Drosophila melanogaster: one gene and its partners. The gene in region 1 interacts genetically with each later gene. Each region holds a gene or a part of one and is shown in the gene's direction. Other genes may lie near its edges.

The links.
Region 2: of y (region 1) and su(sable), changing one suppresses a phenotype caused by changing the other (phenotypic suppression), as found in Drosophila melanogaster (one study listed by BioGRID).
Region 3: of y (region 1) and Ask1, changing one suppresses a phenotype caused by changing the other (phenotypic suppression), as found in Drosophila melanogaster (one study listed by BioGRID).
Region 4: of y (region 1) and Top2, changing one suppresses a phenotype caused by changing the other (phenotypic suppression), as found in Drosophila melanogaster (one study listed by BioGRID).

The regions. Positions count from the first base shown.
Region 1 is NC_004354.4:354,002-362,360, forward strand, and holds y (yellow), read left to right. Parts: upstream 1-2,507; 5' UTR 2,508-2,678; coding exon 2,679-2,916; intron 2,917-5,615; coding exon 5,616-7,003; 3' UTR 7,004-7,244; downstream 7,245-8,359. UniProt on the Drosophila melanogaster protein: Controls the pigmentation pattern of the adult cuticle and larval mouth parts.
Region 2 is NC_004354.4:633,200-639,152, forward strand, and holds the start of su(sable) (suppressor of sable), read left to right. Parts: upstream 1-2,690; 5' UTR 2,691-3,080; intron 3,081-3,242; exon of another isoform or gene 3,243-3,388; intron 3,389-5,133; 5' UTR 5,134-5,247; coding exon 5,248-5,521; intron 5,522-5,581; coding exon 5,582-5,817; intron 5,818-5,953. Other genes in the region: Mybbp1A (MYB binding protein 1a), read left to right, coding at 1-269; Dredd (death related ced-3/Nedd2-like caspase), read right to left, coding at 507-639, 703-857, 926-1,288, 1,347-2,090, 2,195-2,284. UniProt on the Drosophila melanogaster protein: RNA-binding protein that suppresses transcription of some RNAs. Together with Wdr82, part of a transcription termination checkpoint that promotes transcription termination of RNAs and their subsequent degradation by the nuclear exosome.
Region 3 is NT_033777.3:19,876,612-19,885,736, forward strand, and holds the start of Ask1 (apoptotic signal-regulating kinase 1), read left to right. Parts: upstream 1-3,107; 5' UTR 3,108-3,312; coding exon 3,313-3,432; intron 3,433-3,504; coding exon 3,505-3,699; exon of another isoform or gene 3,700-4,271; coding exon 4,272-4,450; intron 4,451-4,872; coding exon 4,873-5,770; intron 5,771-5,826; coding exon 5,827-6,165; intron 6,166-6,231; coding exon 6,232-7,034; intron 7,035-7,097; coding exon 7,098-7,244; intron 7,245-7,584; coding exon 7,585-8,484; intron 8,485-8,544; coding exon 8,545-8,817; intron 8,818-8,882; coding exon 8,883-9,120; 3' UTR 9,121-9,125. Other genes in the region: CG17186 (uncharacterized protein), read right to left, coding at 1-671, 731-806; Arc42 (Activator-recruited cofactor subunit 42), read left to right, coding at 1,267-1,300, 1,388-1,597, 1,666-2,639.
Region 4 is NT_033779.5:19,446,971-19,455,990, reverse strand, and holds Top2 (topoisomerase 2), read left to right. Parts: upstream 1-2,500; 5' UTR 2,501-2,740; intron 2,741-3,197; 5' UTR 3,198-3,452; intron 3,453-3,675; 5' UTR 3,676-3,705; coding exon 3,706-4,263; intron 4,264-4,320; coding exon 4,321-4,744; intron 4,745-4,810; coding exon 4,811-7,848; intron 7,849-7,929; coding exon 7,930-8,253; 3' UTR 8,254-8,626; downstream 8,627-9,020. Other genes in the region: RanGAP (Ran GTPase activating protein), read right to left, coding at 8,753-9,020. UniProt on the Drosophila melanogaster protein: Control of topological states of DNA by transient breakage and subsequent rejoining of DNA strands. Topoisomerase II makes double-strand breaks. Essential during mitosis and meiosis for proper segregation of daughter chromosomes.

The DNA.
Region 1 (8,359 bases):
TTGCGATTTCGGGAGCTACAATCGGTTTTGGTTTAGTATATCTAGCGAGTTCCTTGGCGACATTTAAAATTTACAAATAAAGTTTCTCTATTCAATCGGGACAGTGGAAATTGACTATTTTATTTATATTAATGAACTTATTTTTAATTTGGCTTAAGTTACTAAGGGGTACTAATAGTTTGAGCGCAGTGCATGTCATGGGGACATGTGCAATTGTGTGTAAGCGGGAAGTGATCGCGGCCTTCCGAATTTGGCCATGCCAAATAATCCCAGCTCGAAAGGAGGGGACCCGGCGGTCAGGGCCATGGACATTGAACTTGAAAAAAAAAAAAACACAAAAATATATAACACAAAACGGAAAATGCTGTGTACCGCTTATGTTAGAGAAGTTGAGCAACGGGTTTTTCGTTTTGCAGTCACGATGGATTTCCAAATTAGTGTAGGAGGGGGGAGGGGAGGGAGGGAGATAATGTCCAGGCTGCCATAAGTGGGGAATAAGGAAAATAAAACATGAAACACGGGTCGGGCAATGTCATGCGGTATTCGGCTTTGCTTTCCGCCCAAGTTGAAGTGATCCTGTGTGTAAATAATGTCGAATGTTGCCGGTCGGTTGCATAAGCGTTAGTCAATTATGCCAAAGAGATCTGATTTGTGGAAGCTTTTTTTGACCACTTAGCGCGCTCCGCTTGATGTTGTTTTGTTTTGTGCTGGGGCAGAAAACTTGTTTCAATTATTGGGAAAAGTGCGTATAAATCATTGCCGCAAGCTCTGAAAAGCGAAAAAGAAAAACAGTAACCAAACAGACAAACGCAGCATCCCCCCACACAATTAAGCAAAAACTTGAAAACAAGTCAATTCGAAAAAAATTATAGGTTCAACGGCTGCAGCGATCGCATCATTAGTTGCGTTTTTAGTAAATACACCATTTCATTACACAACACACACAATTAATTAATAAAACTGTACTGGTTATTTCAAGTGTGTCTTTTAATAAGCCTGCCGATCGCAATAAATTCGAGCAGCATTGCCGGTAATTTTGTGCAACATATTTTTCGATTGCCACACCGTGTTTGTTTATTTTTCTGTGGGTGCAATGATTTAGAATGCGGGCAAGGGATCAAGTTGAACCACTTCTAAGAAAAAATAGCATTGCATAAATGATATAGAGTCCAAAAACTACACAAATTCAATAGCAGTAATGGTTACATTAGCTTTGAAATTGTTTTTAGACATCCGAAGAAATAAGATTAAATTTAAACGGCATTCTTTAATTTGTATTTTAATATTTTGAGAGGTTTTCCTTATTTAAAGTGTAGATTATTGAGGATTAATGCAAACCACTTTATCTGCGGAGGTCGTAAAACGTATTTTTACCCATTTGCATGTTTATTATGCGTGTGGCTGGTTGTATTACTTTACTTAAGTTTTGCAATTTTTTCTTTAGCAAGCAGGTGCATTTGGGCCAAGAGATATATGCGATCGCTTTCGGTTCGAATTTTTAACATTTACTTGCGGCGATGGTCATTAGAGCATTACCCACTTAGGGCACCCCCAACATCCAGTTGATTTTCAGGGACCACAATATTTTAAATAACAGCTAGTGGAATTACCTAAAAGCGCTTTCGTCCCTTTTGAAATTTTATGTAACACTCAATTATATTTATGTATATGTATGCTCAAAATCACCTGCCAATAACTAGCGGAAACCAAATATTTGACCCTCAGTGAATTGTGAATCATCGGTGACGCCCAATCGAAATCCAATCCTAAGCAATTGAAACGAGCACGAGTTCCAATTTAATAGTATACAAGGAAACACCTGCTTTAAATACTCTACATAGTACACGTTATAATAACGATTTATTTGATATTTCTGGATTTTTGTCTGCATGTATTTCATATAATATTGATTTGATTTTTTTAATGAATTGAACTAAAAAATCATATTAGAACATTTTTTGCAGTCGCCGATAAAGATGAACACTGTTCTCAGAACACAACTGTCATGTATTAAGCTTTCAGATTTTCAGAAATTTGGAGAGCAATGCATTCTATGCACGAGCCTCCTGGCCTTACAATTTACTTGTTTGAAATTAGATCGTCAAATAAAGTCCCTAAAATTAAATAAATAGTAGTCACAACTTTAAAATAGGTCTTAATCTTTTAGGGTACCGAAAGGTATTTCGGCACAAATCAGCGCAGTTTTAAATGTCGATGAAGGCCAAAAATCATACCAAACCCAGCGAAAGGTGATGTCTGACTCATTAAATTGGGGGATTCGAGTGTATTTATTAAACATGCGTGAAAATCAATCATGGAAGACAAAACGCAAAGTTGGCCGATCTATGGGAACAGCATAAGCCACCTGATTACCCGAACACTGAACCACCCGAATCACTAAAACCACCGAAGTTGGCGCGCGCCTTCGTTTTCATTTTCATTGGCCTGTCTTCGTCTTCGGAGAAAAAAAACTTCATATAAAACGCGGCCGACATATTATGGCCACCAGTCGTTACCGCGCCACGGTCCACAGAAGAGGATTAAAAAAATATCACACAGCCGAAGGCTAGAGAAGAACCCCCTATAGCTGAACATATATAAACAAATATATTTTTTTTTATTGCCAACACACTTTGGCTTAAGTGTTAAGAGTGATTGTCAGCTTAGAGCTAAGTGCACTGTTCCAGGACAAAGGGTGGATCCTTGTGACCCTGATCACCTTGGTGACGCCGTCTTGGGCTGCTTACAAACTTCAGGAGCGATATAGTTGGAGCCAGCTGGACTTTGCTTTCCCGAATACCCGACTAAAGGACCAAGCTCTGGCTAGTGGAGATTATATTCCGCAAAATGCTCTACCTGTTGGAGTCGAACACTTTGGCAATCGGTTATTCGTCACTGTTCCCCGCTGGCGTGATGGTAAGTGGAAGTTAAATATGAAGCCCTTGGGGAGATCGTAAATGGGACATTCTTACTTAGGGCATCAGAGATATCTGATTGAGTGGTTGACAGTTTTATATGGCTTGTTTGACATGATGTAAAAACACAAAATTCATTTAGTTTAGGTATTCAAATAAGAGCTTGTTATTTATTTTAGAATTTGGAGAACATTTTTTTGTCTTTCTACCCTTCTTAGAAAATAATATTGTTTTGTACAATTTAATTTTAAACTAGTACAGACGAAAAATGTATTTTTTTATTTGTATGCCTTTTCACCATTTTGGCAGAGGAATAAATATGACAATATATTTTGAGAGCACCCTCATGTAAAGGTTTTAGCGTGGCGACCTCTCATAAATCCGGTTGGTACCTGCGCGTTATTTTAACATTTTAAACAATTAACCGTTGTAAAATCGAAGCCAATAGCATGGCATTGGCTTTATACTGTATTAAATTGTATTATATTACCATCCGAATTGTAAAGACTTCTTCAGGGCCGCCACATAGAAATGGAAATCCAATCACAAACAATAACTTATGGCATTAGCTATTAACCGACGATTAGCTGTCAGTTCAACAAATGTAAGAGTGGCGAAATGTTTAAATGCGAAGGCATTGTTCTGTGACTCACGTTTTATTATTAATCACACAAATGATTTTGCTTCAAAATTATTTGGCTTACACAATAATCAAAATTTTTATGAAATAGTTGAAACACAAAACTAGGAAATTTTAAAAAGCAATGAAACTAAAAAACCCAATTGCTAAGATTATATGATGCGCATACAAATACTTCAGTACGTCTAGGAATGCTTTCGATGATTGATTAGTTTTTATGCATGGCTTACAATTGGTATTTACACAGAAAAACACGGCGATGTTAATAAATTTTGTACATATGTTCTTAAGCAGTCCGAAACACCCAAACTTCTGACTAAACTTAAAAAAACACGCTCTTCAAGGATATCTTAATGTCACTTATAATGTAATGGTATTGTATTATTAAGTATATCAAAATATTCTGGCCCAGCCTTGAGGTCTCTTTTTAAAAAGATATCGACTGACTACCTCCAGTCAATGAAATAATAGCCCAGAAGGCCGAATCGGCAAAAAATAAACCCCAAGTTACGGCAAACAAAACATAGTGAAAGTTGTGGCAAAGTGGAACATTTAAAGGCATGCTTCAATGGCCATCGAAGCAAATCAATTAGTCAAAGCAAATCGGTAGTGGCAACAACAGGCTACAGAATACCTATAAGTGACAGTTATGGGGTATGATTAATTATAAATATTATCATTGACCACCAATGCTGGGCTCAATTGGAAAAACTATTCTATGAAGATTTGAGTAAATAAATTTTGATTTAAAAAAGCCCATGGTTATCGCGACAACTAGCTACGGGACAAGATTACTGTTTAAAATCAAGTGTGAAATATCAAAATCAAAATCGGATTCCGATCGGGAAGTTGTATCCGATTCTGAAACTAAAACACAGAATTGCCAACATTTTCCGATATCGACTCAGCTCACGTATTTCATACAGATTCATTAGGCCACCAGCCATTGAATAATATACCCCAGTCAATTGAGCTACTCGATAGTTGATCAACTTAGCTTTTGTCAACGAGTGAACGCATAAACTACTACATCAACGATATTTGCGGCCCATTCCAAGCTAAAAGTTCATCTTAATTACAAATAAGATTAGAAAAAATATCTGAATGAAAAAAATGTTGAGACATATTTCTTTGGAAAAGGAGAACCTCAAGACAGTCGAAAAAATTGTTTACAATGAAAATGTTGAAAATCATGAAGCAGATAAATCTGTCAGTTGCGAGGTTTTAGGACTGAAAGAGCACATGTCAAAATATAAATTTGTTCAAATACTTTATATTTGACTGAATTAGATTGTTATTTTAAAAGTTATGAATTAAATAAAGATTGAAAGGTGCATTATGCTCAAATGTATATTTATCGCAACCCCCGGTTACTTTGTAAAGCAAAAACGCCTGGTTTGATTTTTAAGAAGATGGGTCGGTAAATCGATAAAAGCTATATTTTCTGGTCGTTGCAGTCTCACTCGCCTGCTATAAAAACATTAAAAGTTCCCAGAAACAATAAATGTCTTTAAATTCAATTAACGAAGAAATAAAGAAGGAAAAGAACTGGAGCGGAAATCGGTCGAAATACTGCCAATGGCCACATATACATTTAACAGCGATATATGGTATACATATTGATAATGATGTCAGACGCAATTGCTTCAGACGGCTAATGACATCGCAAATTGCACGCAACTTGCAATAGTGCCAATTATGACTGAAGTACATATAGCCGGGGATCTTTTAACATAAACTTCCAGTAGATGTACAAGCAGAAAAAAGAGCCATTAGCACGGCAGTTACCATTGCTTATGATTCCTTGTGTCCAAAATAATGACAAATAGGTATATAAATAATTAAATGCCAAACATAAGCGATTCTAATTTACCTTTACATCTGTATGCATTTACATATTATCCAGAAAACAGACAGCGATAACTTGCAACATTGCTTAGTATAATAATCCAAAGAAGGAATTTAGGCAGAAATTCCAGTTAATTAAATATTCAAAACAAACTTTATTTAGTGCCTCAATAATAGTTTGGCCCTGCTAATTCTCCTATTTTATTTTTTAGGGATTCCGGCCACTCTGACCTATATAAACATGGACCGCAGTTTGACGGGTTCACCGGAGCTAATTCCGTATCCAGATTGGCGCTCAAATACAGCTGGAGATTGCGCCAACAGTATTACCACTGCCTACCGCATTAAAGTGGATGAGTGTGGTCGGCTGTGGGTTTTGGACACTGGAACCGTGGGCATCGGCAATACCACCACTAATCCGTGCCCCTATGCGGTAAATGTCTTTGACTTGACCACGGATACGCGAATTCGGAGATACGAGCTACCTGGCGTGGACACAAATCCAAATACTTTCATAGCTAACATTGCCGTGGATATAGGCAAAAATTGCGATGATGCATATGCCTATTTTGCCGATGAATTGGGATACGGCTTGATTGCTTACTCCTGGGAACTGAACAAGTCCTGGAGATTCTCGGCACATTCGTATTTTTTCCCCGATCCATTGAGGGGCGATTTCAATGTCGCTGGTATTAACTTCCAATGGGGCGAGGAGGGTATATTTGGTATGTCCCTTTCGCCCATTCGATCGGATGGTTATCGTACCCTGTACTTTAGTCCGTTAGCAAGTCATCGACAATTTGCCGTATCCACGAGGATTTTGAGGGATGAAACCAGGACGGAAGATAGCTATCATGACTTTGTTGCCTTAGATGAACGGGGTCCAAACTCCCATACCACTTCACGTGTGATGAGCGATGATGGAATTGAGCTGTTCAATTTAATAGATCAAAATGCAGTGGGTTGCTGGCACTCATCAATGCCGTACTCACCGCAATTTCATGGCATTGTGGATCGCGATGACGTTGGCTTAGTTTTTCCGGCCGATGTGAAAATTGATGAGAACAAAAACGTTTGGGTTCTATCCGATAGGATGCCCGTTTTCTTGCTGTCTGACTTGGATTATTCAGATACTAATTTCCGAATTTACACGGCTCCCTTGGCCACTTTAATTGAGAATACTGTGTGTGATTTGAGGAATAACGCCTATGGGCCGCCAAATACCGTTTCAATACCAAAACAAGCCGTTTTGCCAATGGGTCCACCGTTATATACGAAACAATATCGTCCTGTCTTGCCACAGAAACCTCAGACCAGCTGGGCTTCCTCGCCGCCTCCTCCAAGTCGCACTTATTTGCCCGCCAATTCAGGCAATGTAGTCTCCAGTATTAGTGTCTCTACAAATTCTGTGGGTCCTGCAGGAGTGGAGGTGCCAAAGGCCTATATTTTCAACCAGCACAACGGCATAAATTACGAGACAAGTGGTCCCCATCTATTTCCCACCCATCAACCCGCCCAACCGGGTGGCCAGGATGGTGGGTTAAAAACTTATGTGAATGCCCGCCAATCTGGGTGGTGGCATCATCAGCATCAAGGTTAACATAATCCTACACACGGTACTTGGGTATATTCTCACACACTCGATTGATGTAAAGAATATTTAAAGACAACAACATAGGGCAACAGCGGTTAAAAAAACCACATGACGTATGAGCAAGTGGCAAATCAATACTTTATCTAGTTATGTTAAGCAAAAAATAACAATAAATCAACTTTTTTTTGAAGGTTAAGAGTTTACGCAATTTTCTTGAGCGGAAAAAGCGGAAAAAATGTAAGTATGCATAAATTCTAAATATATCAACAACTGTACATTTTCTGGAGTACTACTACCAGGCAAGAAAGTAGGTTGATAAAGCTATGCACAAGATCTGTCATATGGATGGGTTTCGCATCTTCTGGATCATAGGACTTGAGAACATACACAAACACAACTAAAATCAGAAAAGGTTGCCAGCAATCACTTTAGTTTTCTGCAAGCTAGATCCACCTGCTACTATCCCTACTTTCTTCTGTTGGGGTTGTCAGAGCTCTACCTACAGTTGATTAAACCACACATCAGTCATCGTGTTTTTTTTACAATTTTCCTAATTTCCTTACTTGTATTGCCTACTTTTTTGCGAGGGACTTCTATTGGCCAGTATATATTATGTGTTGCATACTCTTGGTCACAGCAAAAATAAAACAAAAAATACGCATGGTAAAAGAATGCTTCCTTTTTTACGCACAACGGTAGACGAAGCATATAATTTTTACATATCGGAAATGTTCTTGAAACAGAGCTTAGTAAATTTATACGCAATATTAGTTAGTGTATTTTAATTTTCGCCTTTTAGTTTCACCTTGTTGTGTAATCAGGGAAAGTGATAATGTATTTAATAATAATTAATAGTTTTAATGATACAAATCTATTGCGCAGAAATCCGATGGGTATTACAACATTATGATTCCTTCTACATTATAGATACATGCAAATTGTATATCTCGACTATAGCGTTCTCTCTTGTTTATGCTACAAATGTAAATGTACTAAAGAAAATATTTTATAAAGTATAAATTTAATATATTATGACATTTGATATATGTCATTTATAACGTGGAAAGAATATTTATTATACTTTCGAAAGTATCAAATTAGTAAGCACTTTTTTAAAAATCATAATTAACAATTAACAATTCCAATAAAAATTGTTTTTGGGTGCATATTAGTTTGAAGAATCAAACTTTAAAATATGAGTTTGAAATTGCAGCATACATACATACACATAAGGCAAAATTTAGAGCTTTTTTTTCGGTGCATCGGCAATTATTTATTTACACTACCAGGCGACTGTTGATATTCCCAGTCTCGGGCGGGGCATTTTGTCAAACTGTCGAAAAACAAACAGAGGAACAAAGA
Region 2 (5,953 bases), 280 kb from region 1:
AAGTCGCTTTCAAGGACAACAACTCGTCTTCCAAGAAATTTGAGAAGCAGATAGCCAGATATGTAAATCAGCTAGAAACGAAGGCTAGCAGTTCCAAGGAACTCAATCTGCTGCTTAAGATCCTCGCCCAAGGAGGCGAGAAGTGGCAGAAACTGCGTGAACAAATTCAGCTCGTCGCCAAGGATCTTCAACCCAACAAGAAGGTGGCGAAGCAGAAGAAGCAGGCAGCCGCCAAACCTATGGTCGTGGAAGATGAAGAGTCCACATAACGTAAAAGAAGGAAACACCCCAATAAGAAACCTTACAATTAGATGTATAAATATCTTGCATAATATAGGATACTATTAATTTTTTTGTTCTTTAAAAAATTCTGACGAAAAGTACTAAATTAGTATTGAAGTCATTGAAAAAATAGCAAAAGTACACTAAACTTTATAAAAATGTATTTTTACCTTTATAGAGCAATTTGAGTGGACGTACAACTGCGCTAACGTTAAAAACCAAAATCACAGACGAGGTGGAAAGTACACGTGCTGGCGAAATGTGCTTTTAACATTCGGCACCATGGACTCGTCATTACTGCCTCGCTTTTTAGACACTTCGTTGGTGACAATCGTCAGGATATCGGCGATGTGTTCACTAAAGTAACAAAGAACAACTTATGCATTAATTCGGGGCTAGCTTGCTTTGGCAGCTTTTTACCTGGCGGAACGGCGATCGATGGCATCGCACAGGCTCCCGATAAACCAGCTACCTGTTTGGGTGTGGCGCAGAGCAGCATATCCATTTACCGTGGACATGGCCCGCAGCATGTCGATGTGCTGGTCCGGCGACACGGTGGTCACGTCTATCCTAAACTGAAAGAGGAATACGAAAATGTATAGGCTTTCCCATTCGACGACTTCATGCTTATAAATCTCCTTACGAGCTCATTTGGCTTCTTTTTATGGACAAGCTTCTCCTGGCAGGCTTGTATGATTAGCAACTTCGGTTTGTAGTACAGGGTGTCGTAGCTGCAGAGCAAGTCCTCGATATCCGTGATCTTCATGGCGATGCTGTTGGATGCGTAGACGGCCTCCTCGAAGCCGTGGCTCAGGATGAAGACCACTAGGGAATCGCGCACGAGCGATCTATCGCACGCACTGCGAATGCGCTCTATGATGCCCATGTGATCCACGTTGTCGTACGCCTCCACATTGTATCCCATCGAGGAAAACACCTCGATTAGTCGTTCTTTATCCACATCCGTGCCATCCCGTCTACGCAGTGGGTCGGGCGACAGAAATTTCTGTGGAGAAGGGCAATGTTGTACTTCTTTTTGTTACTCAATATTGCAGAGATGAAACCATATTATCCCTGCTAACATTCCGGTGAAACTTCTGCTGGTTGATAATCAAGGCGATTCCTGCGTTCTCCCGGGTCAACTTAAGAGCATCTATTTGTGTGGAACAGTACGACTGCTGGTTATCCGATTCAATCTCTTGCTTGACTGCCATCGCAGCAGTGCCAGCCGCATCTGGCTCCGGAGCGTTACTAATGATGGTGTCTTTGAGCAAATTTGCTTGCGCCTGCAGACCGTTGGACTTCAAATGGCCGACCAGCAGCTGAACATCGCTGCCTGCGGCATTTATGTCCCCTAACTTTATGCTCCTTCTGGTCAGCCAGTCCAGCAAAAAGATCTCCAGGTACGCGGGATCGTAGAAGCGAAGTGGATCTCCTGCCTGCTGGCTCTCCACCTTTTCGCGAACATCTAGGAGCAAGCGGCCACTCTGCACCAACGACAACTCCTCACACATCCTGTAGAGGCTCTTCAACAGAGGATGGACATGCAGCGTGATCCCAGCGATATGCGGCAAGTAGTGCATTCGCAGCTCCTGCCAGCAGAAACCCAGTCTCCGGAGCACCTTGCGGGCCCCAATAATGCACAGGGCCTCCACGAGATGTCTTCTCCAGGTTTCTGGCCGGGACTTGGCGAACTTTATGAGTAGATCACTTTGCGGGAAGTCTGATCGTGTCATGGCCAAAAGTTTCTGCAGAATGTAGGTGGCATCCGAGTGGTCGTCGCCATAAAGCAGAAAGCAGAGGCCCACCTAGAAGAAAACGAAGGTTCTACTGTTTAATTAACACTTTGGTCTAGCGGATGTGTAAAACATTTGAGTCATATTCGAAAAGTCCTCCCAGGGAGGTGCCATACCTTTTGGGCAAAGTTCATGTCACGTTCCACGTAGATCAGATCGTTCTGATCGATGGTGTCTAGATGAATCAACAGGTTTGATCCGGCCATGGCGATCGGGAATATACAAAAATGTTTCACTTTAGGAAATGGCCGATAAATTGCACTCGCTGACATCCGATAGCCGTGGCCTGAAGAGCTTCCACCGATCGATATCGATAAATGGATATGTTTTCTGCAATAGCGAAAGATCGGGGTGCTACCTATTAATTATACTTAAGAAACAGATGATGTAGTTTTTTGATATAGAAGTTTAACAACCGGTTCAACAATCGGTTAATATTTAAAAATGTCGCAGCCAGCGAGCCTTTAGCTTTAAAAGTAAGCTTGCGTTCACGGTTTTTGGGGAAATACCAAATATACTAGGTAAAAACATCGATTAACTAATATCATCCAACACGACGATATGTTCTTTGCGAAAAATATCGATGTACTGGTATTTTTATGTTTCCACACCTCTAGTTCGTTTAAGTCGATCTGTTGAACTGTTAACAACACAACTCCTGAATATTATGTTTTGGACGAAAAGTTTTATTAATTTAATGTTTTTGTATATTGTATTCTGTCCATGAGCGTAACAGAGACAGACAGAGAGAAAGGGACAGATACTGAGATACGGGGCCCTCAGGCAGAGAAAGAGGGCGAAAGCAAGCTACAAGCGGGTGCGAGCGAGAGCGCGCGCTTGCCTCACGCACATATATATAAATCTGTACATACATATAGTATCAGAAGAAAAAACTAAAGCCGCTATTCGATTTACGAAAACTGGCGAAAAATTCGACGATTTGTCTCGTACCTATCTATGTACCTCACAACCACTTCGTCATCAAATACGTATAAGTCAGATGTATGTCAAACATATATATACATATGCATGTATATACACATCTATGTGAGGCCACTGCTATATCCCATACATGTATGCCTCTATATATATGTATATATTTATCCACCTACTGTACCACTTCCACATTATGTAAGCAGCGACGCAAACAAAACACTAAAGCAGAAAATCCGAAAAGCAAAATGCGAAATGCAAAACAACGAACCAACAAAATCCCATCTATAAACCGAAAACCGAACAGCAATGTTATAACAAATACCGAAAAGTTGTTAATGTTCCACAAAAAAGCATAAAGCAGTCACGCTAAGAGAGTAAGATCGAACAAATGAAATGTTTGTATGGCATAAGTAGTTCCCAGATTTTTGTATGTACTTCAATGCATATGCATGTGTGCGTATGCATGTATGTATGTATGTTTCTCGGGGCCATGTCTCCCCACGCCCACGTACGTGGGTGCTAGAAAGGGACAGATGGTGCAAATTTTTTAAATTGCATACACTTGATTTTGGAACGCCAGCCAAACAAAAAGATAAATTGCGTGCTTTTCTTTTGCTGTTCGTATGTACGTACATATGCAAGTGGAAACTGCGCAGCAGGGAAGCCACACGCATGAACGCCTTCCATTTACAGAGCATTCAAACAAATCGTACCGAAAACCAAACAAAAACTTTCACCTCAAGTGTAACAATTATATTCAAATTCGCTTTGAAGTCGCTGTAAAATATATGTATGTATGTATAAACAAAGACAAAAACATTTTGCCTCGCAGTCGACACACACACGCGCACTCGCACTGCACGCCTCGGCTGTGTGTGTGTATGCCCTGCTTAGATCATGAGTGTGCGAGCGAGTCGACATGCTTGGCAATCGCGAGTCAGAACTAAACACGCGCTCTATATGCACGTGTGTGAGACGCATTGGATTTTGTTATTTTCATCAATCGCAATGATTCCGTCCATCAGCTACATCCAAATATATACACGCATCCGCGCCATATGTACAATGCTACGAGCATTTACATACACATGTACATATGCGCGTGTGGCTCATAACGGTTCACTCCGCTTACGCACAATAATAAAGGCAAACGCCTACGACTTCCCCATTGTTCCTAGGCTCAATGGAAAGCCACTCCGTTGCTTTCGACTTTCGCTTTTCGGATTCTGGAATTTGTTTCGCTGTCCAAAACTACGTATAACTGAATCTTTATGTTAAGCCAATTGTAAAAAGTGTATTTTCCTTTCTCGTTCTCTCCACACAACAAATGTGCTAGCGCAACTTTGTTGATCACTTTTATTTTATACTGGAAGCATGTCCAGGACCCATACCCTTTAATTCATCAAACTGATTTGCTTATTATTTTGTTGCTGCACTTTGGAACTAGCTAAGTGCCAGGCTAAACCTAAGCGATCCGATCCCACTTAAACCAACCAACAAAGAGCAATCCAACCATTGTCAGCGAAAAGTGCTCAAACTTTCCGAGTGCTGAGATAAGGAAGGGTGCCCAAAACATTCATCGCAGCCATGCTGCCCACGCTACAAAGTGACTCTGACTGAATGCATCAGGATCGTATGATCCGGGTGGTCTATCTTAAGTCAATAGTTTCTGTCGCTAGTACTTGGACGTGCCTTCTGAATCCGTAGTCATTTGTGATACCAGCCATTTTATATTGTATTTACCTCAAAAACATTAATGTAGCATTTATTCAAGCAACGCTTGATTTTAGTGTTAACCAATTCCTTTCATTTGTGTTCAAAATTTTGACCGCCAATGGGGTGATTCAAATAATCCCCGAATGATTTTGGAAAAAAAGAATAAGGGGCATTAAACTACATTTATTAATTCGTTTTTATTCACTTAGAAGCGTATTATGGTACATTCCACCTTTTTAGTTAATACTAGCAGTTGCTTTATTTTAAGATACCATTTTATATTGTAATTGGACGTTAAGACAAATTATAAGACGTCCTTATATATGATTAGATTGGGAATTTGACCTTAAAACATATTTATGCATCCATATATGGTATTCAAAATCCGATCCCTTATCAACAGCTTTTCCAAATACCAAACACTTAAGAGTGCAGCAACAGAAGAGGGAGGCCACTTTTTTTAAGGGCACCAATTATTCCAATCTCATCCTGTGAGAGATTAGCTGCCAAATCGATAATGTCTGTCGCTTTAGCGGATGAACCCTTAATTGACTTGGAGGAGGATTTAGAGGACGGCGAGATCGACGACGATGAGGAGGACGAGCAGCAATCTTCAAAAATCCAAGTCCAAAAGAAGACTTTCGTAGGGGACGACGATGTGCAGTTTGTGGGTGTCGAGGCTAAGAACCAAAATGACGACGAAGATGTCGTTTACGTGGGACCATCGACAGATGCCGTTTGCCTCCAAAACAGCAACAGCACCAAGTCAAAAAAGCCTCGCCCATTAGAAGGTGAAAGCTCATTCAGTTGTTTCATTGATTCTTCTTGTTTAATCTGGATGTATTCCCTAGATGACCATGCTAGCAGCATTGAGTTGGCGATTGCCAATGCCCTCAAGAAGAAGGGCATAGAGCCCCCAATGCCCCGCATGCGTTCGTCTAACCAGGATACGAGCGATCAGTCTTTGGAGGGATCCGGGGAGGGACTGGCTACCGCCAATCCCCTTCTTCAGTCAACTCGCAGCAGCAGGCGAAGGAAACGCAAGAAAGAACGTGAGCGCGAGCAGAAGAAAGACAAGGAGCAGCAGGTGAGGCCATCACATTATGTCCAAATGCAACTATTAGATACCCATTAGCTGACAAATGCAGTATACCCTTCTGCTCCAGGAGCAAGATTTATATAGTTGTAGCTAGCCTTCGATTGGCACTTATGAAATGATTTTT
Region 3 (9,125 bases), on another chromosome or scaffold:
GCAGAATCTCCTGGCCGTTCTGTATTCGCAGGGCTTGCACTCCAGGGTGCACCTGCACTCCTTCTTGTAGGCGAGGTATTCGTCCTCGGTCTCCCCAGACTCCCCAGATAGCTCCACCATCTGTTCCTGCTCCTGGGGCAGATACTGTATGTATTCATTAGCCTCCAGCTGGCTTTGCACGACCTCGATGTTCGCCTGGCTTTTTGCTTGCATCTCGAATTGAGATTTTCGAGTGGTGCTGTAGTCACACGGCGTGCACGTGGTCAGGATGTCTTCCGTGTATCGTGTTTTCTCCGCATCCGCGGGCGCTGGCTCCTCTACTCTTTTTATGCGTTTTACCGCCGGTTCCGCCCTCTCGGCCTCGTCCATCAGCTTCTCGCACTCCTCCTGCTCCTTCATTATGTGGCGCCTCGACTCCTTGTGCCGGTCGAAGCAATACCGTTTGGCGGTCTTGTAGCCGCAGACGTTGCACGAGAACAGTGACGATTCCACCTCAGACTCGGAGTCAGAGCAGGACTCCAGCAGCATGTGCTTTTGCGACCGCCTGTGGCGCCTCAAGTCTCTTCTCCGGTCCGTGGAGTAAGTGCAGCCGTTTATGTTGCAAGTCAGTCGCTTTATCTTCACCGCCTTGACTTGCTCCTCCTTTCTGGGCGCTTGTTTTAGGTGCAAGTCTGTAAAAAGCGAAATCAATCGTAGTTCAGCCGGCATTTAGGTATTCATTGGTACTCACATTCCATTTCGTCCTCGTAGATGAAATCTAGAGCCTCTATCGTCAGTGTTTCCGTTCTCTGGCATGTCTGCGACATATTTCCCTCGTTTGGTCTGCGTTCTTTTAATAATAACTAAACAAATCAACAATTATTTGATGGTACCAACATTATTTAGCTTGAAAATGTAGAATGCACGCGAGAATTTACGAATTTGGGAATTTAGTATTTTTCAGGCGGCATGTTGGATCTTATTTCCGTGCACCTTAGGAATTATGTTTATTTCATTTTAAAAGTACCCATCAGTGTTTTCGTATGAGTGAAAAGTTAGTAATTTTTAATTTTAATTTTAAATTAGTAACAAGACGACTTGTTAAATTCGGGACAAGAGTCACCCTGTGATGAACCACTTGTTACATGCAGATGCAGCCGGTGACCTCCTCTGGTCACACTGTCCATTTTTAATTTTTTGTAATAGTAGAGTTTTTTTTATAACATTTTATCCGTCTTTTATGCAATATATTTAATTATTATTAGTAAGAGGCAATCCCACACAAACATGCAATCAGTACTCACCCGCTCGTTATGCATTGGTAAGACAAACTGATGTGTGGACTTTGAGCCCCAGCCATTTAAATGTTTTCTATAAGCAAGATCCTAAACCAGATATTGATATTCAGCCCGCAGATCTTTAAATGCTCGTCAAATTGCCTCATTGTCGGCGCTTTCGGAGACGCACCAGATGCTGCAGAAGTCCTGCCGGGACTTTGCCAACAATGAGCTCAGTGGAAACGCAGCCAAGTTCGATCGGGAGCACCTGTATCCAGAGAAACAGATCCGCCAGATGGGCGAACTGGGCGTGATGGCAGTAGCGATTCCCGAGGAGCTGGGTAATTAATATTACGCCCACCTCAGCCCTCCTTATAGTATCTCATTGTATCTCTTTATTGTTAATCAGGCGGCACTGGACTGGATTATGTGGCCTACGCCATTGCCATGGAGGAAATCTCAAGGGGCTGTGCCTCTGCTGGCGTCATCATGTCGGTGAACAACTCCCTGTATCTGGGACCGCTTCTCTCTTTCGGAAACGATGCCCAGAAGAAGGACTACATCACACCGTTTACCACCGGCGAACGAGTGGGCTGCTTCGCGCTCTCTGAACCTGGAAACGGATCCGATGCTGGAGCTGCTTCCACCATAGCAACCGACAAGGGAGATCACTTCGTGCTGAATGGCACCAAGGCCTGGATCACAAATGCCTTCGAGGCGGAGGCAGCCATTGTGTTCGCCACCACCAACAAGCAGCTGAAGCACAAGGGCATCTCCGCATTCATTGTGCCCAAGGCTACCAAGGGCTTCTCGCTGGGCAAAAAGGAGGATAAGCTGGGCATCCGGGGATCTTCGACGTGCCAGCTAATTTTCGAGGACTGCGTGGTGCCCAAGGAGAACATGCTGGGCGAGCCGGGTTTCGGTTTCAAGATTGCCATGCAGACGCTGGACGCCGGCCGCATAGGAATCGCTGGCCAGGCGCTGGGCATTGGTCAGGCTGCCCTCGAATTGGCCGTGGACTACGCCCAGAAGCGACAGGCCTTCGGCAAGCCCATTGCCAAGCTCCAGTCCATCCAGCAAAAGATCGCGGACATGTCGTTGGCCATGGAGTCGGCACGTCTGCTCACCTGGCGCGCCGCCTGGCTGAAGGACCAAAAGCAGCCCTACACCAAAGAAGCTGCAATGGCCAAGCTGGCTGCCTCGGAGGCGGCCACCTTGTGCTCCCACCAGTGTATCCAGATCCTGGGCGGAATGGGCTACGTGACCGACATGGCGGCCGAGCGTCATTACAGGGACGCCCGCATCACTGAGATCTACGAGGGCACCTCCGAAATCCAGCGACTGGTGATCGCGGGCTCCATTCTAAAGGAATATGCTAGTTAAGATCAAAGTTATATATCCGTACTACTTGTGTCTCGTTTAATAAAGAACGTTTTTAATATACTATTTTGCTAGTTCTATTGAGTTGTATAATTGTTTATAATAGATAGAAATACATGAAAAAAACACCTACAACATTTTAATTCTTTAGAAAAAGTTAGCAAAACAATAAATCTTCGTTCAAAAAGTAAAGTAAAATAAGTGAAACTCTTGACTACTTTTTAGACGTTGCATATTTGTAAATTAATTAAAATAATGAACCTTAAGTGCTTTTAAAATATATTTATAAACAAAGCTTATTATTTTATATGCCTAATTATATTATATCTTTTAAACCAAATTTTAAATGACTCAAAAAAATGGGAACTTGGCGCCAAAACTGCAGCAAGGCTTTGTCGGTTAGCATATTTGTGTGGTATTTTTGTGACTTCATTCGGTATATTGCTGGTAGCTGTGCAGCGGTCACACAGCAAAAGCAAAAAGTTTCTTTATTTATTTGATAATTATTCGTTACGCGGTAATTAACGCGATGCAAGTGCAGCAGGAACGTGGTAATGAGAGTTTTTGCCACTGAGCTGCGCGTGTCGGCCGTCCAGAAAGTGCAGAAATCGCGTGAAGTGCGCGAAATCCGTCCAAGAGCAGAAAAGTGCCAAGAATAGCTGCGATGGAAACAGCGATGGATGTGGTGTGTGTAATGGATACGGCGGTGGGCGACCATCTGGAGGACCGCCAGTGTGCGCTGGAGGAGATCAAGCAGGCAGTGCAGTCGGCGGGCGCCAACTTTCAGCGGGTTCAGGTGCGCCAGCTTGGTTATACAATGGCATATGGGTGATTTGACTTACATCCCCCCCACTTGGCATCCTTGCAGTTCGAGCGCCTGGACTTCGGCGAGACGAATGTGCTGGAGACGTTTTACAACGCCGATGTGGCCATTATCGACCTGAGCATTCTCACCCAGCAGCGGCCGCTTTCCTATCACTACGGCGTTAGGGAGAGCTTCGGGATGAAGGAGAACATCCTCACCTACAACGACATCGATTCCAAGCAGACGCTCAGTCTCAAGGTGCGTTCGGAAGTGTTTACCTGGCCGGGCGTGCCTGGCAAACATCTGCGTTCGTGATCGGGAATCCGCTTCCGATAAGATAAATGCTATGACCAGCAACTGCGTGGACTCCTGGACTAGTTGTTCTTGCTGATCTTTCTACAGTCGAGCTTCCACAACGCGAACTGAGTTTATAACAAGTCTCTAACCTAGGTGCTTAGACACCTCTTTCTGGAAAATGACTAAAAATTATTCTATCTACTAGTCTTCCTTTAGCAAATTGCAAAAGAAACCGAAAAACTTCCTCTTTCCAGAGGTTAATAACTAAAACCTCTTTCCCATATGGCAGCCAATAATTTGAACTATGGAAGTTCGACTGTATTTCCGTCGAATCGTTTTCGTTATTTTTGTTTTGGCTGCGGCCATAAAGCAACAAAAGCATTGGCCCAGCAATAACAATAACAAATGCGAGCACGCCCACGCAAACACTCAAAGAGGCACGCACACACTAACAGCACGGTGTACACCAACGCAGCGTGGCCTGCATTCACAGTGGCGGTCATTAAATTAGGTACACTCTACTCCCCTTGCAGCTCTCGTGTGCCAACTACCTGTTTCTCAGCTACAAGCGGAATGCGGAGACCAATTCCTGCCACCTGACCAGCCAGCCCAACAGCGGCAACAACAGCAAGGAACCCAATGCCGAAGGACGAGTGCCCACTTTGCAGTGGCGCCTCAAGCGAAAGCTGCAAGATGTTGAGATCCAGTCGAAGTGAGTACAATCTAGGGAGTCCCCTTTTGCAGTAAGTCATGCACGGTGATTGCATATCGGAACACTATTTATAACATCCCCTGCGGCAGATTGGCTGCAAAAGTCACGCCCTGCATCTAAAATGAATCAGACCGATTTATTGTGTTGGCCTTGGAATTGCATATAAAATATCAATAATCGCTGAAAATTCTTAAGTCTCTTTATAGTATCATAATTGTCCTTTCAATTTAAATTACTTCGAACTTTAGTGATACTACTACGGGTTAACAAGTAATGAAATGAAAGTAATTGAAATCTTAAATTTGGTGTACCAGATAGATGCTAAGTTAATTAGTCTTTCAGCCAGAGCACGAAACACTGTTCCTATTATGCATTATTTGTGTACCTAAAAACTAAACGAAGCTATTTTCGGTTATTTACAGAGCCCACATGCGTGAGAAATTTCTGAGTGACATGCGAACGGCGCGGGACACGTACGCCACCAACGGCGCCAAGCTGCAGAGTATATTGCACGAGATGCGAAAGCGGCTGGACGATCCGCATGTCCTGTCTGGCGAAGTGGTACACAGTTTCATGTGCTCGCTGAGGGATGTGCAGGACTACGATGCCATGGTGCGACTGGTCAATGACCTGAAGAACATACCCAACACCCGGAAGTACGTGGAGACGGGCAACATGAGTTTCCTGTACGCCTTCGCCCTGAACCGAAGAAATCGAAAGGGAGACCGTGAAAAGGCTCTGGAATCTTCGCTGAAGGCGCTGGAAAAGAAGGAGAACCACTTTCCGGACATGCTCTGCCTGTGCGGCCGCATCTACAAGGACATCTTTGTGGAATCCGACTACACGGACGCCACCAGTTTGGCGCACGCCATCAAGTGGTACCGCCAAAGCTTTGAGGTGCAGCCGAATGAGTATGCAGGCATCAATCTGGCTACTCTGCTGGTTATCGAGGGCAAGGAGTTTACCAATACGGAGGAGTTGCAGCACATCGGCATGACCTTAAACAATTTAATCGGTAAAAAGGGCAGCCTATCCTCGCTGAGTGAGTATTGGGATGTGGCCACCTTCTTTGAGATCTCCGTTTTGGCCAACGACTACGCCAAGGCGATTCAAGCTGCCGAGTGCATGTTCAAGCTAAAGCCACCCAACTGGTATCTGAAGTCGACCATCGGAAATATCTCTCTTATACATCGATTTCGAAAGAAGCCCGAGGAACGCCAGCCGCCCATCGAGGAGCAGGTGTTCCAGTTCTGGATGGACTTCTTTCTGGAGGCCACCAACACCGAGGAGGTTAAGAACAGCATTCGCTTTCCGATTCTGGTTGGTACCCCTGATCTGCAGTTTAAGCTTTATTATTAACTCAAAACAAATTCCAGATCCTCGAGCCTCAGAAGATTTATATGCCCAGTTATGTGACTATAAACATGGATGCGGATGAGAAGTCCATTCAGATTGTGAACATCTGTTTGGCTCACGCAAAGAATGCGTGTAAGAAAATCCACGACTTCCTTTTCGTGGCATCGAAGATCAAGTCCGTCAGCCTTTACAAGAGGGATGATCGTTGTGCCTACTTGTACGTCCATCACAACTCAGATGATTTTCAAATATATTTTCCCTCCACTGAACGACGACAAAAGTTCTACGATATGATCCTGGAGATGACTGCAGATCAGGTGGTGTTTGTCAATCTCAGCAATGATGACGCTAATATCGAGGTAAGTTATTTATTATTCATATATACATATATTCCGGCCACTTTTGCTAATTATTATTAATTGTAGTACGAGTACGACTACGATGAGCAGAATCGCAAAATGGTGCTGGGCAAAGGTACTTATGGCACCGTGTACGCCGCCAGGGACAAGCAGACGCAGGTGCGAATCGCCATTAAGGAGGTGCCGGAAAAGAACTCGCAGGATGTGCAGCCACTGCACGAGGAGATTAAGTTACACTCTCAGCTGCGACATCGCAACATAGTTCGCTATTTGGGATCGTGCTCGGAGAACGGCTTCTTCAAGATCTTCATGGAGCAGGTGCCGGGAGGATCGCTTTCCGACCTCTTAGAGACCAAATGGGGTCCGCTCAAGGACAACGAGTCCACCATGGCCTTCTACTCCAAGCAGATCCTCGAGGGGCTGAAGTACCTTCACGAGCAGGACATTGTTCATCGCGATATAAAGGGTGACAACGTGCTGGTTAACACGTATAGCGGCGTGGTTAAGATCTCCGATTTCGGCACCTCCAAGCGGCTGGCCCGCATCAACCCGATGACGGAGACCTTTACGGGCACCTTGCAGTACATGGCGCCGGAGGTGATTGACCAGGGAGTACGCGGCTATGGCCCGGCGGCTGACATCTGGTCCTTTGGATGCACAAACGTTGAGATGGCTACGGGCAAACCACCGTTTATCGAGCTGGGTAGCGCCCATGCGGCCATGTTCAAGGTGGGCTTTTACAAGAAGCATCCGAACATACCCGAGGAGCTGTCCGCCAACGCAAAGAACTTTATTTTGCGTTGCTTTGCCATCAGCGTGATGGACCGACCCTCCGCCTCGCAACTTCTGGAAGATCCCTTCCTACAAGAGTGAGTTTGCTTAATTGTTTTGCCTAATTCCTTTCTAATTGCACTTTTAATTTTCTCAATAAGTAAACCCCGCAAGGTGCGCCCAGCCCTGCCCATCAATACTGAGTTCGGACGCAGCATTTCGGTGCCGGCTGATCGGTTTGTGCACAAAACCACACCGCCGCTGAGCTACAACACAACCTGCAATACGCCCACAACGCCGGAATTGGAGTAAGTTAAACGCTGCGACTATTCTTATCATGTTCGACCTTCCTCAATTACAAGCAGAGGTTATCTTATCTGTTGAAAATTATCATTTATATTTTGCTAATTTTAATGAATATAAAAATTTTTCCGTGCTTCTCTATATTTTCCCATATCGTCTACTATTATAAGAGTAACAAGTGCCTTTGCTTATCGTGTAGTTAACACATTGATTGTTGCTATCAGTAAAGTGCATATTTAATGATTGGAAAATGCGCACTCGGATTTTGATACTGAGAAGAGATAGCACTTGATGTATTGTAAAATAAACGTAATTTTATATTGTACTTTCTGTTTCCTATTTCAGCATAACGCATTCATCCTCGGTGGACATTGACGAGCTGCCCAGCAACCAGTTTATGCTTGAACGGCGAAATTCCCATGGATTTTTGCTCTCGCCAGAGATTGAACCTTCCACGCCGTCCTTGCGTACGAGCATTAGTGAGACGAGCGAGACTGACGGTTTTTACAGGCTTAAAAAGGATTCGCAGAGGCGGACAACGCTTTCCAAGGTGCTGGCACTAGACGAATCCAAGATCTGCGATATTTGGCTGAAGAAGGTCGACGCTGATCAGAACTCGATTGCGATTAGGAAAAGCGATTTGGAGGTTCTAATCCGAGGACTGCGGGACTACATTATGAACGAAAACGAAAAGCATTTGGAAGCGACTATCAACGAACTGAAACAAAAGCTGAACAACGACGCAGTTGCTCTGGACCATCTTCATTTGGCGCTGTACTCCTTTCAGGACGCCGTGGTCTGCGTACTGCGGTACCATTGCATCAAACCCCATTGGATGTTCGCATTGGATAATCTGGTTAAGCGGGCCGTCCAGGCGGCGGTCACTATTTTCTCTCCTGAACTGGGCGCCAATCTGGCGGACAAAGACCTGTCTGGAAATGATGATGAGAGCTTGCGTACAAGTCTAATGCAGAAGGGTTCCACCGAGAGCCAGGAAAAGCAGAGCCTGGAAAAAGTTCTTCCCACGAGCAACACTCGCGAAGGTGTGGGATTAACGCCTGCGGAATCGGGCGGGGATGCTCTGTCCAGTTCGATGGAGTGCGCGCGCATCCTGAGAGACATCCGTGACAATCAGCAGAAGCTGCAACGCCAGCTCCTTGAGCAGCAGCGGCAGAGCATGAGGGCCCTGCATAATATCAGTCAGGAGCTGGCTCACATTTACATGGGCGGCAGAAAGAGATTAAGGTTGGTAAACCAAGTAGGACATTGTAAATTTTATTATAATTCACAATTTCATCTTAACAGACGCACAATAAACGGCTTTAACAAAAAGTGCCATAGAATGAGTACCAGTGTGGGCGGAACGTCCGGAGTCCGTCCGAATATAGCGGGCAATCCCCGGAGGCAGCTAAACAAGCATCACTTTGGTCTTCACGAAGTAGACGAGCAGTTGGAGCAGTGGTTGACCCAGCAGGAAATAGACGAGTTCTCAAAGACGCTCATCCTGAATGAAGGTTTTACATTTGACGACTTTATCTATAACATGGAAAAGCTGGACCTCATGAGGCTGGGTCTGCGGTGCGTTAAAGCTTATAAGAAAAGTACACTTAATCCATGCTCAACTAACTTTTGGTATTTTGCAGCGTTGGCATCGAAGTGCGTTTGTGGAAACTCATTATACAAGAACGTGTGTGCACCTCGTCCGATTGTGTGGACAGTCCACCAAGCACTTACCACAAACCCATTGGAGGCAATAGCTCTTTTGCGCTTATTGACAACAACAATACGCTACCATCACCCACAACCACAACTCCCGGAACGCCGGGCATCAAAACGAAAATCAAGAAAAGCGAAAGCGAGTACGATTCGTGCAGCGAGTGACTGGA
Region 4 (9,020 bases), on another chromosome or scaffold:
GACAGCCGATGAGTGATAACAGTGTGTCACTGAGCTCGAGCTAAATTTAGTGAATCTGCTGTACTTAATTGATGGAGCGGGAATCCACAAGAATTATAAACAATATAGTATAAGTAAAGTGTTGTGCAATTACTCAGTTTTGGCTGCACTTAGTTTTTAGAAACATTGCCTTTGGGTTGGTTGTTTCCAGCAATCAATACATTAGGTAGGTACACTTTCAAAACAATGTATGCAAAATGAAATCATTAAAATTTTTAAAATCATTTAAAATATATTAATATAATATAATAATATATATATATATAATATAAATATATACTAATTGGGGGTTAGTACCGATTGTTACATTGCTAGCTTAATCTTGGAATTGCATAGTGTTCAGCATCAGCCCCAAAATATGTGCTCTTGTTAGGTGTACCTCGACCTGGCCTTGGCCGGATTTCCCAATTCCTATCCCTACACCCCAAAACGCAGAGCCAGACCCAAACTTGCCCCCAGTGAACCCCGCGATTGTAGAGGAGCCACTGCCTGATAAGGCATTATCCGCCGCGTTCCCAGTTCGCCAATGGCTAATCGGGTCGCTTGGGGTCTGTGCGGTGCAGCGTTGTGTGAGTTCGACGCGTATTTGGCAGATACTGTGAGATGATGCCACCGCGATCTCAAAGTGCAGCACACACAAATTTCACACGTGGTGGCCGTGCAAAGTGCCTGGGTCAATATTTAATCATATTCAACAAATTCCAACTAATTACACATTATGCACTTTTAAGTACGCCTGATTGCAGTGCTTAAGTCCCAGCACATACATACTCGTAGTTCGGTTCAAGTGTTAATGAACTCGCCATTGTTGTCGTTAATTGTCTACATGGATTTGATAATCCCAAGATAATCACAATAATAGTGCCCCCCATTAGGGTGTTTGATAATAAGCGATTATTTCACAGCCCCACCTGCACCTTTAAACACCTGTTTAAATCGCCCCATTAGCTCGGGGTCTTCACTTTCATTACCAGGTAATAATCCAATCCGAGTGGCGGTTACTGTTTCTGGTCACGGTTTCTATTTTTTCCAGCTTGCAGTACGGGGAATCCGACTTAACGAAGATCGCACACAAGTGGCATCGCAGAAGCTTGGAATGAAACTGAGCTGGGGATCGCTTAGAACAGAAGATTTTATGAACACAAGTCTCAATGGAAAAAGTCGAGAAAAAGCGCAGCACTTATGACTATAAACCAGTATGCGAGAACGAGAAACCAGCATCTGAAAATAGGGAGAGCCAGCTCGATGAAACGACGATGCAAACACCCTTAAAAACGCAATTAAGTAAAATTTGTTGATTAACAATACATATACATACAATTTATTCAAAAAAAAAAAAAAGAAACTAATTGCTAATTGTAGTACTTATGTTTATCTTTTTATCTTACCAAATCTTAGGAGTTTTAGCTCACATCTTGTTCAACTTGCTAATAGTATCCTGGAATAAACTGCACTTAACTCCGCTAGTTCACAATTTTCCCATGCATCAGCTGAAATTCCCAATTTGGCAGGGTACAAACTGCACTCCGCATATTGAGAGATCTTTGCTGATGCTTGTCAAACGAGAATCAACAGATTTGGAGGAGTAGAGAATATTTCTGGACGATATTCGATGCTGTGCAAGTTCAATGAGCTCCGGTGACGTCACTGCGTGAAGGGTTCTCCATTACCCAAGCAGAAATTCCGAGTAACTCGGATGAATCCAGAATCTTTATATTTTGTTTGCACTATTCAAAACATGTTTCTGAGCCGGAATGAAAATCGCAACGGGATGGGGAGGGACATGCCCCTTTATGACGTCGTGTTGGGCAAGGTCAGGCAAAATGGCAGAAAGAAAACCAGTTCTCTTGTAGCCATGGTCTTGGCTTTGGAATATTCATATTACCAGGTGGTTAATTGAAAAGCAATCTTCACTTCAACGGTGCGAAATTTAATTGCACAAATGCAACTTTAGCAGCAATTTTTCATTTCATTTCATTTTAAGTAATTGCTGTATATCACATTGATGTGGGATACAATACTAAGCATATGAAAGGATAAATTTCTTAATGGTTTTACTTTGTCTTAAATTTTTGATAATTTGCATTTAGATCGAAATATTTTATCTTTTTTACATTTATTTCAATGCCGATTTATAATGTAAAAAATAGAAGAAATGTTAGTTGGAATAATTAAAACCCCTACTTTCGACTCGAAAAAGAATTTAACCCCAAAAATGTTATTATTATTTATTACCTTCGAATTTTTTAGAATTAACTGTTGCTTAACTCATCACGTGATTGAGATAGAACTAAAAAACCGTGATTTTGGCGATCACGCTTTTAGCGGAGTCACCGACCGCAGTTACTAGTTTAGCCCTGTTCACAATGAGCGTATGCACCAACCCAAACAACACTGTTATGGGACTTATCGATAGCGATTTCATTCAAACATCGATTTGTGCGCCTTGCCAGCTCTAAAACCAGCAATACTTCTCATTTGTTGTCGGTTGTGAAAAGTTGTTAAATGTGCTGTGCGTATTTTAATAGTTAGTTGAGAACTGTACAAGTTTTAGCTAAAGGCAGCAGACGCGTGGGGCACGTACAAGTCGAAAATTGTAGTGCACCGCCTCGTGTATCGCCTGCAACATAGAGTTTTGCCGCACTTCGGTTGTCGGCGGCAGCAAGAAAAGGCCACAAATACTTGGCAATTTTTTAACCAGGTAAGCAGAAAGTGCTGAATCATAATCGTAGAATTGGCTGTACCGTAGAACCTAAGAGCCCTGTCTAATTAATCCTTTAATATGATGGATATAGCAATTTTTCGGTGGCGTCGCTTGCAAATTAAAAATGGCGATACCGGTATAGACATTTAGCTAATTTTGGGCCTTTAAAAACCATAGTTTTTTGATTTTGTAGCGCGGAGCGCGTATGTAGGCCTGAATTTGTTTACTATAAAGTGAAACCCCTCGAAGAACCTTAATAAGAAATAATAAATAGCGGTGACTACCGGCAAACGCCAATAAACACGCACACTCACGCAACAGACGGCGCACGCCAAGCGTTGCCGCCAAAGAGACAGGGCTGTTATGTATTTCAAAGTGTGCTGAAAATCTGTTCCCAGTACAGTAGCACCAGGCAAAATAATACTTAGTTTGACGTTTTTCAATTTATCTGCAGTTATTTCTGTTTGACGTACCCAACCATTTCCCATGTTGGCCAAGTCCCATTCCATTGCAGCGTTTGTCTGGACGGCATTTACGCAATGCGCGGGCGCGCGTTTTGTTTTTTTTTTTCACCGTGGGTACAGTGCGCATTCATTAATAAAAAATTGTTGAACAGCAGCATCAGCAGCATTGGCATCACATGCCAACGCACAACCATCCCCGTTATTAAGAGGCCATTAAACATATTGGGTGCCATCTATCTTATTTGGTATTATAACAATTAAAAAAAAAACGTGAACATAATATTACTAATATACTAATAGCAACTGTTAACTGGGTGGGTACTGTAGTCTTCTGCTAGTAGCTTTGGTTTTTTTTTTACTTAGTAGAACGCAGGACGAGTGATTAATAGTAGCTAAGGCAATGGCTCGGAATATTAGTTATTAATATTAATATTACATTAACAAATGCCTTTTGCTTACTCTTTGAAGATTCAGCTAAAGCACAGCGACAGAAGCATCATGGAGAACGGAAACAAGGCCCTGTCCATCGAACAGATGTACCAGAAGAAGTCGCAGCTGGAGCACATCCTGCTGCGACCCGACTCGTACATCGGATCCGTGGAGTTCACCAAGGAGCTGATGTGGGTGTATGACAACTCCCAAAACCGCATGGTGCAGAAGGAGATCTCTTTCGTGCCCGGCCTCTACAAGATATTCGACGAGATTCTTGTGAATGCGGCAGATAACAAGCAGCGAGACAAGAGCATGAACACCATTAAGATCGACATCGATCCGGAGCGCAATATGGTGTCCGTGTGGAACAACGGCCAGGGCATTCCGGTGACCATGCACAAGGAGCAGAAGATGTACGTTCCAACGATGATCTTTGGTCATCTGCTGACCTCGTCGAACTACAACGACGATGAGAAGAAGGTCACTGGCGGCAGGAACGGATACGGAGCGAAGCTCTGCAACATATTCTCCACCAGCTTCACCGTTGAGACTGCCACGAGGGAATACAAGAAAAGTTTCAAGCAGACTTGGGGAAACAACATGGGAAAAGCCTCCGATGTGCAGGTAAGGAAATAACATTTCTTATTTTAGACCATCATCTAATGTTCAGTAAACCCACAGATCAAGGACTTCAATGGCACTGACTACACACGCATCACATTCAGTCCCGATCTGGCCAAGTTCAAGATGGACCGTCTCGATGAAGATATTGTGGCTCTAATGTCGCGTCGCGCCTACGATGTGGCCGCCTCATCCAAGGGAGTATCCGTCTTCTTAAACGGCAACAAACTGGGTGTACGCAACTTCAAGGACTATATTGATTTGCACATCAAGAACACGGACGACGATTCTGGCCCACCGATCAAGATAGTCCACGAGGTTGCCAACGAGCGTTGGGAGGTGGCTTGCTGTCCTTCAGATCGAGGCTTCCAACAGGTCTCGTTTGTCAACTCGATAGCTACCTACAAGGGCGGTCGGCATGTGGACCATGTGGTAGACAATCTCATTAAGCAGCTGCTCGAGGTTCTGAAGAAAAAGAACAAAGGTACGTTTAACTTAAAATGTGTATTTTCTTAAACAACAACTAATATTTGCTTTGAACCTCTTCCAGGTGGCATCAACATCAAGCCATTCCAGGTCCGAAACCATCTGTGGGTTTTTGTCAACTGCTTGATAGAGAACCCCACTTTCGACTCGCAGACCAAGGAGAACATGACTCTGCAACAAAAGGGCTTCGGTTCCAAGTGTACCCTCTCGGAAAAGTTCATCAACAACATGTCCAAGTCTGGCATCGTGGAGTCTGTGCTGGCATGGGCCAAGTTCAAGGCCCAAAATGACATTGCCAAGACGGGCGGTCGCAAGTCAAGCAAGATCAAGGGCATTCCCAAGCTGGAGGACGCTAACGAGGCGGGTGGAAAGAACTCGATTAAATGCACCCTCATCCTCACCGAGGGAGACTCAGCCAAGTCATTGGCCGTATCCGGTTTGGGCGTGATCGGACGAGATCTCTACGGCGTGTTCCCGCTTAGGGGTAAACTTCTAAATGTGCGGGAAGCTAATTTCAAGCAGCTTTCGGAGAATGCCGAAATCAACAATTTATGCAAGATAATTGGCTTGCAATACAAAAAGAAGTACCTCACTGAGGACGATCTAAAAACTCTGCGCTATGGCAAAGTGATGATCATGACAGATCAGGATCAGGATGGCTCCCACATCAAGGGTCTCTTGATCAACTTTATCCACACCAATTGGCCAGAGCTTCTGCGTCTGCCCTTCCTCGAGGAGTTCATTACACCAATTGTGAAGGCAACCAAGAAAAACGAGGAGCTGTCATTCTACTCGCTACCCGAATTCGAGGAGTGGAAAAATGATACAGCTAATCACCATACGTACAATATAAAGTACTATAAGGGTTTGGGTACTTCGACCTCCAAGGAGGCGAAAGAGTATTTTCAAGACATGGATCGCCATCGCATCTTATTTAAGTACGATGGATCGGTGGATGATGAGAGCATTGTTATGGCCTTCTCCAAGAAGCACATCGAGTCGCGAAAGGTATGGCTTACCAACCACATGGACGAGGTGAAGCGTCGCAAGGAGCTCGGTTTGCCAGAGCGATATCTCTACACCAAGGGCACCAAGAGCATCACCTATGCAGACTTTATCAATCTGGAGTTGGTGCTGTTCTCGAATGCTGACAATGAGCGCTCCATTCCTAGTCTGGTGGATGGCTTGAAGCCGGGTCAGCGGAAGGTGATGTTCACTTGCTTCAAGAGGAATGACAAGCGTGAGGTGAAGGTGGCCCAGCTATCCGGATCAGTGGCGGAGATGTCAGCCTATCACCACGGAGAGGTATCCCTACAGATGACAATCGTGAATCTGGCTCAGAATTTTGTGGGTGCCAACAACATTAATCTGCTTGAGCCACGCGGTCAATTTGGTACCCGCTTGTCGGGAGGCAAAGATTGCGCCAGCGCTCGTTACATTTTCACTATAATGTCTCCCTTGACGCGACTCATCTACCATCCTTTGGACGATCCACTTTTGGATTACCAGGTGGACGATGGCCAAAAGATCGAGCCACTATGGTATCTGCCCATCATACCGATGGTATTGGTAAACGGAGCCGAGGGCATAGGAACTGGATGGTCCACGAAGATATCCAACTACAATCCTCGTGAGATTATGAAAAATCTAAGGAAGATGATAAACGGACAAGAGCCAAGTGTGATGCATCCGTGGTACAAGAACTTTTTAGGACGCATGGAGTATGTTTCGGATGGTCGTTATATTCAGACTGGTAACATTCAAATTTTGTCCGGAAACCGTTTAGAAATCAGTGAACTCCCTGTGGGCGTATGGACGCAAAACTACAAGGAAAATGTCCTGGAGCCTTTATCAAACGGCACCGAAAAGGTTAAGGGTATTATTTCCGAGTACAGGGAGTATCATACAGACACCACCGTTCGCTTTGTGATCAGTTTCGCACCTGGAGAATTTGAGCGCATTCATGCAGAAGAAGGTGGTTTCTACCGAGTGTTCAAACTTACCACGACGCTGTCCACCAACCAGATGCATGCGTTCGACCAGAACAACTGTCTGCGACGCTTCCCCACCGCGATCGATATCCTTAAAGAGTATTACAAACTGCGACGAGAGTACTACGCCCGCCGGAGGGACTTTTTGGTCGGCCAGCTCACGGCGCAGGCTGATCGCCTCAGTGATCAGGCGCGCTTTATTCTCGAAAAGTGTGAGAAGAAGCTGGTGGTGGAGAACAAGCAGCGCAAGGCCATGTGTGATGAGTTGTTGAAGCGTGGATATCGTCCCGATCCCGTCAAGGAGTGGCAGCGCCGCATTAAAATGGAGGATGCCGAGCAAGCTGACGAAGAGGACGAAGAAGAAGAGGAGGCAGCTCCCAGTGTCAGCTCAAAGGCTAAGAAGGAAAAGGAAGTCGATCCGGAAAAGGCCTTTAAGAAACTAACTGATGTCAAAAAGTTTGACTACCTTCTGGGTATGTCCATGTGGATGTTGACAGAGGAGAAGAAAAACGAGCTACTCAAACAGCGCGACACTAAACTGTCCGAGTTGGAAAGTCTGCGCAAGAAGACGCCGGAGATGCTTTGGCTGGATGATTTGGATGCCCTCGAATCGAAGTTAAATGAAGTAGAGGAGAAGGAGCGCGCAGAAGAGCAGGGGATCAATCTCAAGACCGCGAAGGCTTTGAAGGGCCAGAAGTCGGCCTCAGCTAAGGGCAGAAAGGTTAAGTCAATGGGAGGCGGAGCGGGTGCCGGAGACGTATTCCCAGATCCCGATGGAGAACCCGTCGAGTTTAAGATCACCGAAGAAATCATTAAGAAAATGGCAGCGGCTGCCAAGGTAGCTCAGGCGGCTAAGGAGCCGAAGAAACCCAAAGAGCCCAAGGAGCCAAAAGTGAAGAAGGAACCGAAGGGCAAGCAGATTAAAGCCGAACCTGATGCCAGCGGCGATGAGGTGGACGAATTTGATGCAATGGTCGAGGGCGGCTCTAAGACCTCACCCAAGGCCAAGAAGGCGGTTGTCAAGAAGGAGCCGGGAGAAAAAAAGCCGCGCCAAAAGAAGGAGAACGGCGGCGGGCTCAAGCAGAGCAAGATTGACTTCAGCAAGGCCAAGGTAAGTGTTTCAGTAATTGCCCATATTTGTTTTTAAACCCAAATCTGTATTTAATTGTCAATTAATATTTTTCATCTTTAGGCGAAAAAGAGCGACGATGACGTGGAGGAAGTAACTCCTCGTGCAGAGCGTCCTGGACGTCGACAGGCCAGTAAGAAGATAGACTACAGCTCGCTCTTCTCGGATGAGGAGGAAGACGGTGGCAACGTTGGCTCTGATGATGATGGCAATGCCAGCGATGATGATTCGCCCAAGCGTCCAGCTAAGCGTGGACGAGAGGATGAGAGCAGTGGAGGAGCCAAAAAGAAAGCTCCGCCCAAGAAGAGGCGAGCTGTAATTGAAAGCGATGATGATGATATCGAGATTGATGAAGATGATGATGATGATTCTGATTTTAATTGTTAAGGAACACATTTCCACACAGGATATTGATAGAAGATGGACTCTTAGAATCAGCATTATCCGCATCGAGAATCTCGAGGAGGCACTTTTTTTTGCGGACTTGCTCGCCACGATCGTTCGTTATTTTATAATCTTTCAATGTTCTCCTCGATGTTAACGTCAATGTTTTATAATTCGTGTTTTTATTAACTATAGATAAACACTTCGCTACATTCGTTCACTGTAGCTGATTCTGTTCCAGAGCAGCAAGAAAGCCACCAAGAGGAATTTACAAACGTAATATCGATGTATTAACATGTTCCATAAAGATAGTTTGTAGTCTCATACGAGTTTTCTTCATGTAAATAAATCACTTTTGCCGAATGGCTAATACATTAAATTTCGATTGGTTTTTTGGGTAAAAAAAAAACACCACTACGGGTTAGGAATAATACGTTTTTATTCGCGAAAGCTACACAAATCGGAAAGTGGGAAATAAAGGTAATCTCTTCTCTAATTCTCTTTACGACTCCGCACCCTCCAGGAAAGTCTTAAAGGAATTCTTAATGTTGTCGTTGGCAAACGTTGGTTGCTTGAGAGCCTCGCGAAGAGCAAATCGACAGTTCTTGACATCGTAGTCCGAATGGAATACCTCCTTGCAGGGCAACAAACGGAGCTGCATCAGTACATAGTTGAGTACACGTGTCTCCTGCTTTGTCTTGATGGCATAGTCAAAGGTGGCCTGGTACAAGGAGACGGCCAGATCCAACGCAGCTTTCGAGGATTGCGAC